Linked DNA regions of Rhinolophus ferrumequinum. The protein of the gene in region 1 binds, or shares a complex with, the protein of each later gene. Links are inferred from orthologs where the notes say so. Each region holds a gene or a part of one and is shown in the gene's direction. Other genes may lie near its edges.

Region 1 (3,744 bases):
AGTTGCCCTGTTGACTGTTATGATTATATCATTATTTTTTTATAGATGAGAAAACAGAGAAGTTAAATTACTTTCCTGGAGTCATCCTGCTTTGTTATTATTGGCTTCTAATGATCTGGACCCAAGTATTCCTGCTACTAATACTTCCTCTCAAGGTTACACGTATAATAAGGGGTCAGATCAGGGCTGTTCATTAGAGTATAAGGTGAGCCACTAATGAGAGCCATATGTGTAATCTTACTTCTTCTAGTAGCCACATCCAAAACGTAAAAATAAACCAGTGAAATTATTTGAAGTTGCATATATATACTGTTAACCCAGTTGCATCTAAACTCTTATCATTTGCTGAGCTGATGTCATCAACACTAAACTCATGAACAACCTATTTTACATTCTGTTTTTCACACTAAGTCCCCTGTCTATTTTCCACTTACTGAACACCTCAGGACTAGTCACATTTCAAGTATACAGTAGCTGTTTGGATCTCTGCTCATGAACAGCTCGCACAGGACTACAATTTAAATCTCCTGGGGGTGGGGATTGAAATTTAAAGGGGAGCTCTGCCTTCCAACTTTGATTCTAAGGCCTCCCTGCCCCCAACTTACCTGGTTGCCAATTTGAATGGAATCCTCAGCAACTGCCTTTGCCTTTTCTGGTAGAGCCAATGTAGATATTTCTGAATTTGGAAAGGACAGGTGTTTCTCCTGCAACCTTCCAACAACTGTCATTTCCCTCTTGGCAGCTATGCTGGGAGAAGACGTGTTTGATTTCTGCTTTGAAAATGTCTGAGGTAGGTTGCATGAATTAAATAATGTACTCTAAATACCAATTTGGGGGTGGAACATCTTGTTTTATGCAAATTCAGGGAGGCCCTGGCGTAACTGATCAGGAATAAATCTTGTCGCCTGTACATGCCTTCGTGAGGGTTAGGGGAAGGCAGCATGATGTAGTTATTTTTGCCATGCTGCCCAAGGAGAGGGGTAGAACGTCAAAACAAACACACCAGCCTCTTAAAGGAGCTTTAAAACAACCCACCGAAGTTTCCCCTCAAAGTTCCAAACCAACTGCCAAAAATGAAGGTACGTAAAAAGATGCCAGGCGCTCTCGGTCTCCTTAAGGTGGCGCTCTGAGGGTGACGGAGTTAATTAGTGCCTGCAAAACGCCGCGTGTGAGCTCATCCGAGAAGTCCTGCTCTGTACACTGAGTATTTATGGCAGATCTGAGGCGGCCACGGTGTTTGACATTTTCTTTTTAAGTAAGGGGACTTCAAAAAGTCGTGGGCACTCGCCCCCACCCTTACCGCGCCCCAGGCAAAGTACCAGGCAGGCCCCAGGGCGCAGGCGGGCGGCGAACGCGCCAACCACGCTTGTCCAGGCGCAGGTGCCGGGGGCGGCGGCGGCCACTCCGCAGCGTCCGCTCCGGAGGAGAGTTCGCGGCTGATCTCTGGATGCCTCGCAGCTGCAAAACGTGTCTCTGGCCAGCAGGAGGAAGGAAGAGGAAGTGAGAGCAGCGGCAACCGGCGGAGCAGCAGCCTGCGGACCCGGAGTGTAAGTGCGTGTGCTCGGGCAAGCGCTAGCGGGCGAGGATGGGCACGGGATAGTCAGACCACCCACACCGCCGCGGCCCCGAGCAGGGCGACAGAGCCTCCGGGCCCCCTTCAATGGTCGCGGGTCGCCAGAGGTCTGTTCGCTGGGAACCTTCGCTGCCACTGCTGCTGTCCTGCGACCCCGGGCAGGTTCGTAAAGTTTCCTGAGCTGGCGCGGAGCCCCGGCTCGCTGACCTCGGCAGACCTGGGGGTGGGGTGGGGACGGAGGGATGGGGCTGGGGCAAGGAGGAGGCGTCCTGCTCCGGGGACTCTGGTCGCCTCGGAGACACTTTTGTTTCCTCCCTGGGGGCGCCGCGGCTCGGGCGGGGGTGGCCGCGGCGTAGTGCGGGGTGAAGGCTGCGGGCGCGACGGGGCGCTGGGCATTTGAGGAAGTCTGGGCAGAGGTGGATGGGGGGCTGGAATGGGAATGGGAGCGGAGGGAGGGGCCCCCGGGGATGGAGAGCGGGGCCTGGGGCCCGGGAACCCGGAGAGACGTTTCGTCCAGGGCCGGCTGGAGGGGGCCGCGGGAGGGCTGCGCTGCCGGCGACTGGGATTTGGGGCCACGGGGAGTGAGAGATTGGGGGCTTGCAGTCACTGGGGGCTGCGCGGGAGAAGGAACTGGCGGCTCGGACTCCCGGCATTTCTCGAGCACTGGCAGACGGGAGGGAATCCCCCAGCGAGCGCGTTCCTGGGAGGGGGCGGTGATGGGCTGGAGGGAGGGAGGGCCGAGAGGGACTGGAGCGGGTGGATGGGGCAGCTGGGAGTCCCGGGGGCCACTGTGAGCAAATACACGCCTCCCGGGACACGCCGAGGTCCCGGTTGGGACCGGCAAAAATGGTGGGGGGCTTCGATAGAAGATACCGGCATCAAAGAGGGGGCGCACCCGGCGCGCCTTCAGAGAAAGGGGGCAGCGAAGCTCGGGGGTCCCTAAAATCAGAGTGGAGAGGGGCGGCGGAGATGGCAGGAGTAGCTTTGAGGAAGAGGAAATACAGAACTCAGCCGACCCGGGGGTGCGCGCGTGTTTGGGGTTGGGAAGTCCGTGTTGTGCCGCGGGCGCGCGCGAGGGTGGTGAGAGGGGGTGTGTGTGTGTGTGTGTGTGTGTGTGTGTGTGTGTGTGTGTGACTTCAAGGGGCTTTGGAGCCAGGGACTCCCCGCCGAGTGACCCTTTCCCGCCTGGGGGCCCTTTGAAGTTGGAAGCTTCAAGCTGGGGTTGCTGGTGTTGGAAGCTGCGTTGACCTAAAGCCGCAGGGCTTGGCCCCCATAGTGACCCGGCTCTGGGCCTCTGGACAGCTCCTGAGACTCACGGAGTGTGTTTTGTGATGCCCTGTGCTCAGGGCACGGGCCTGCTAACACCGCTGTTCATGAATGATTTGGACCTAATTCGTTCTAGTTAAGGTTTATTTCAGAGAACCTAAGACAAGGGTTTGTGCCTCCCGGGGTGGAGGCCACAAGGTCCCCATTTAGGGCTGCCAGTGACTTGGGGGTGCGGTGGGGGGACAGTGGAACATTTTCTGAGTTTTTTTTTTTTTGTCCATAAAGTAAAAGGAATTAATGACCTGTATGTTTACAAAGTATACATACATGTAATGTATATACATACATGTAATGACCTGTTTTTATATAATGACCTGCATGTGGATATCAACTGTTTGAGGAGCTAGAGGGATTTACCCCCACTTTTAGATGGAAAAGACCTGGCTGGCAGCAGCTGTTATTAAGGACCTCTGGTCATGATTTTTCATATTATCTCACCTCCATACCCGCTTGCCAAGGTTGTTTCAAGGATTCCAGGCCCCCAGTTTACAGAACCGGGCATTGTGAGTTAGAAGGCCGGATCGCCTGCTGTCACCCAGCAGACTTTTCCCCTTAGAACTGACCTTTCACATCTGGGCTCTTTACTAGGTACATGTCCTATCTTTCCAGGGCTGTGGTTAAATGTGTATGTGACCTTTCCTACTCAATTTACTGCTCAGAAAAGACAGTCTTTAAATTAGACATACTGGTTGTCTTCTTGGGAACTTGTGAGGGAAAGACCTGGAGTGTTGCAGCTCTGTAGCGGGGGGGTGGTTTTGGGAGGGAAGGGAATGGGGGAAAAGCTTGGTAGGTGTCAGGGAGGGGCAGGCTGGGAGGCAAGCCCAGAACTGGGTCTGGTGGGACTG
Region 2 (3,744 bases), on another chromosome or scaffold:
GATGCTCATTCTCAAGTCAGAGCTCCAAGAGCAACGCCGGGGAACAGAAGCACCAGAGGGCGCCCACGAGTCTGTCCACCCGCCTGTCCCCAGGGCCGCTGCAGGATCTCAGGCCTGGGTGCGGCCCTTCTGCCCCAGCAGTTGCGCGTTCGGGCGAGAAGAGGGGGCGAAGGGAGCCCAAGGTCCTCTGTCCGCCCCGCCCCCTCCCCAGAGCACAAGCGCGCGGAGTGGCCGGGTGCGGAACGACGACGCGACATCCTGTTTTTTGGGGCCCGCGGCTCCGCCTGCGCCTCTGCTGATCTTGTCTTTCCCCGGGTGCTGACGCCAGCTCCCCTTCCCCCAGTCTCCGCACTCTCCCCAGGGGTCTGGGGCCTTCCCACTGCTGAATCACCACCACCCCGCACTCCCTCGGGGTTCCGGGCAGGGGTGGGGACTGCCCCAGCCTGACCCATTCTGACCAACGCCGAGCCTTGGATATCGCTCGACTCCTGGGCTTGAAGACATCAAGACTTAGGGGCGCCTGTTCTCAGCATCTTCCCGCAGGGCTTGGTGGGGGCAAAAACGGGGAGGGGGACAAAAGCTTAGAACCTAGGCTAGGGCCTCTACCGGGCTGGGGGTGGCAAGGAGGAGACTGGGAGGACTGACCTTGGGAGGACTGACGTTAAGAGCCTCGGAGGGAGAGGGCTGGGGTCAGGGAGCCCAGGACCGGGCCGGGGGCGAGGCTGGGGGTGGAGAAGAGACAGAGGGTGGGGGGACCGGCCCCACGGACTTCCTGGTGCGGCCCCGCCCCGGCCCGCCCCCGCGCTCCGCCCCGGTCGCCGGGACCGCCCCCCCCACTTCCTCCGGCCTCCCGCTCTCACTTCCTTCTCGAGCCGCCTGCTGCTGCCGCCGCCCCCAGCTCCCCCGCGGCGGGGAGGGCTCCAGGTGAGGCCCGGCGCGGGCCGGCGGGCTGGGGGTCCCGGGGAAGGGAGCCCGGCCGGTCCGGGACTGGGCACGGGCGCCGGCCCAGGAAGTTTGCTTGCGGGAGGCCGCGGGCGGGAGGTTCTGGGCTCACTGCAAGTTGGGCGGGCGCGGCCGGGCGGGCGGGCGGGCGGGGCGGGGACCGAGCCACTGCGAGCCGGCGGCAGCTCCTGGAGGGTGGGTTCCTGTACCGTGGGCGGCTGTACCGGCTCCCTGGAGCCGCGGGGGGCCCCTGAGATCGGAGGTCTCGCGCCCAGAGAGAAAAGTCTCTGAAGTGGAAGGGTTTAGAGTTGGGATGTGGGACTCAGAGGTGGGGTGCCCTCAGAAGTTGGGGAGCTATTCTGCAGTGAGTGGGGTGGGAGGGCTGGGCTAGAGATGGCGCTCCCACTGGTCTGGCAGTTGTGACATTTGTGAGGTTGAGAGGGGGGCGGTGTCTGGCCTCTCGCCCTAGCCTGCAGAGGACGAGCTTCCTCACTGGAAGATCGGTACCAACCCAGAACCTGCTCGCAGGCTGCAGCCCAAGGGTCCTCTGCACTCAGGAGGGCGCGGGAGCCCCGCTGACCCCAATCTTTCTCTGTGTGCGTCTTTTTGCTGAGGCCCAACCTCTCCATCCATGGAACCAAGCAACAGGTATTTGGTGAGCAAATACCTGCTGTGCCTGGCTGAGGGGTGCCTGGCCTTGCTCTTTTGTGGGTAAACTGAGGAAGAGAAAGGGCCTGGTCTTGTCCTGTGACTAGAGTTGGAAGGACTCTCATTCAGAGGTACTGATAGTCCCTGACAAGATGGCATCACTGAGAGCAGCACTGTTTTCAGGAGATGGAGAGACTAATAGGGCTTGTGGGAGACAGCAGGGGTTCTGGCCTTGGGAAATGATTAGGAGCCGTCTCCTAGTTGACCTCTCGCCGGCCCGCACCCCTCATTGGCAGTCTCTAAATTCTATACATTCTCACTTTGTCTTCTTCCATTCCTTCTTCAGACTCTACCCACAAACCCTCCATCACCCACTTCTCGAATCTTTTTCAGTTTCTTTTCCCCCAAACACACAGTCATGCCAAGGCCCTGACCTCTCACCTACCCTGCCCTTCTGTCCGTCTCTGTCCCCTGCAGCCTACCCCCACGCCCTTCTTTGCTTAGCTTCTGTCTCCCACAGATGTATCTACCCTCTTGCTTCTTCCATCTCGCTTCATTCTTTTGATCCCTCTGTCTCCTTTCCTTTCAGCCACTTATCCCCAGCTTTGGCGTCAGGATCTTTGGTGAGTTTCAGAGCCTTTTCAAACCTCCCCAGCTCAGAGAGGCAGGCTGCAACCTCCCAGTAATAGAGATGATTAAAGGGCTAGAAAACCTCTCTGTATGTGTACGTGCGTGCGTCTTGTGTGTCGACATTTTTATCTCTTGGAGACAAAATAACTGCTCTCAGCCTTGAGAGGGCCCAGAGCAGGGGAAGCCAGCAGAATGAAGGGAACCTGCAGTGAGTGCGGTTGTGGGTAGGGTAGGAGGAAGCAGTCTGTGGTGGTCAGGGTAGAGTGGCACAGTAATAAGACTGTTGAGAGAGGCCGTGGGAAATCAAAATCACTCAGACCGTTGGGTGCTTGATCAAGAGGCCAGGCCTGGAGGCCAGAGGACAGCCCGAAGGCCCCTGACTCCAGTGCTTACTGGTTCCAGCACCGCCTGGTGGGGAGAATGGGACCAAGTTTGCTAGGTGTGACAGAAGGAAAGGGAGGAAGCAAAGGCAGGGTTCTGGAGAGAAGACTAGAGCTGTTCTAACTTCATTCTTACCTGTTTTAGTGCCAATTCAGGAAAAGAACAGGAGCGGGAAGCAAAGGTATCTGCCCCCTCTGCCCTTCTTGCTGCCCTCCGGGGCCTGCCCAGGCTGGGTACCTACGTGCCCTGGCTGCATCAGGGCTTTGGTGACAGTAATCCTCTGCAGTCTGCTGAGCCCTCTGCCTTCAGGATTCCTTAATATTCCCCCTCTTACCTAAGATCCTACTCCCTCTCTTATCAGGAATTTCTCCTGAGTCTAACTTTAGTCCAACTGGCTCTGTAAGCCCTTTCTAGGGCTCTTTCCTCAAGCCTTTGAGATGCATGTTGTGAGATCTTGCTTCTCTCTGTCTCCTCCAGTCTACTCTATTCATTTCCCTCCACTAGGAAAAAAAGGGGGGGAGGGCAGCAAGTGCTACTCTTTTGGGATTCCCAAGCACAGCTAGATTTAAGGGCTATTCCTGTTCCCCATTCTGTCCTCTTCCATTCACAGCTGCCCTCTCCCATGAACTGTCTCTTCGTCCACACACCAGTGTCTTCTACTCTCATTTCTGGGAGGTATAAGGGGTTTGGCCCTGAGAGGAAATCTCGGGGACCTACATTAAATCCTGCTCAGGGAAGGATGTGCCTGCAGGACCCCCTCCCAGCATCACGGCTCAGTAAAAAAACCACCCAGGAGTCCTGACTCCCGCCTTGCCGATGGGTACTTATTTTAGGATTCTGCATAACTGAGCAACCCACAGGTCTCTGGGGGTGAAGATAGGACGGATGAGATGGGTTCTCCCGGGCACAATCTGGTCCCACTGGAGGTTTGAGCTAATTGCAAGAAAATCATTGCTAGAAAAAATATGACCAGGGTAGGAGAGGTCTAAATGGGAAAATATCAGGGGCGGGGGGTGCCTGCAACCTAGGAGGCTGCTATTGAGTTCTTGGCTAAAGAAATAAAGCCAAAGTCCTGACATGAAAAGAAGTGGCTGATGTGAGATTGTCACAAATCCTGGTTGGGAATCTAGGATCTGGAGAGTT

What was found. The genes of interacting proteins can lie anywhere in the genome.
Region 2: the proteins of ELMO1 (region 1) and RHOG are in contact, whole or in part, in a crystal structure (PDB 7Y4A), measured with the Homo sapiens proteins. The link is inferred for Rhinolophus ferrumequinum from reciprocal best matches to the Homo sapiens genes ELMO1 and RHOG. Residues at the interface, in NP_001193409.1 of Homo sapiens: Lys9, Val10, Ala11, Glu13, Tyr18, Pro19, Leu21, Met22, Ala54, Asn71, Gly72, Ile74; in NP_001656.2 of Homo sapiens: Val36, Phe37, Asp38, Trp56, Tyr64, Arg66, Leu67, Leu70, Ser71, Pro73, Gln74.

The regions. Positions count from the first base shown.
Region 1 is NC_046303.1:7,351,954-7,355,697, forward strand, and holds the start of ELMO1 (engulfment and cell motility protein 1), read left to right. Parts: upstream 1-1,418; 5' UTR 1,419-1,547; exon of another isoform or gene 1,548-1,735; intron 1,736-3,744. UniProt on the Homo sapiens protein: Involved in cytoskeletal rearrangements required for phagocytosis of apoptotic cells and cell motility. Acts in association with DOCK1 and CRK. Was initially proposed to be required in complex with DOCK1 to activate Rac Rho small GTPases.
Region 2 is NC_046294.1:47,346,990-47,350,733, forward strand, and holds the start of RHOG (rho-related GTP-binding protein RhoG), read left to right. Parts: upstream 1-780; 5' UTR 781-924; intron 925-1,443; exon of another isoform or gene 1,444-1,590; intron 1,591-3,744.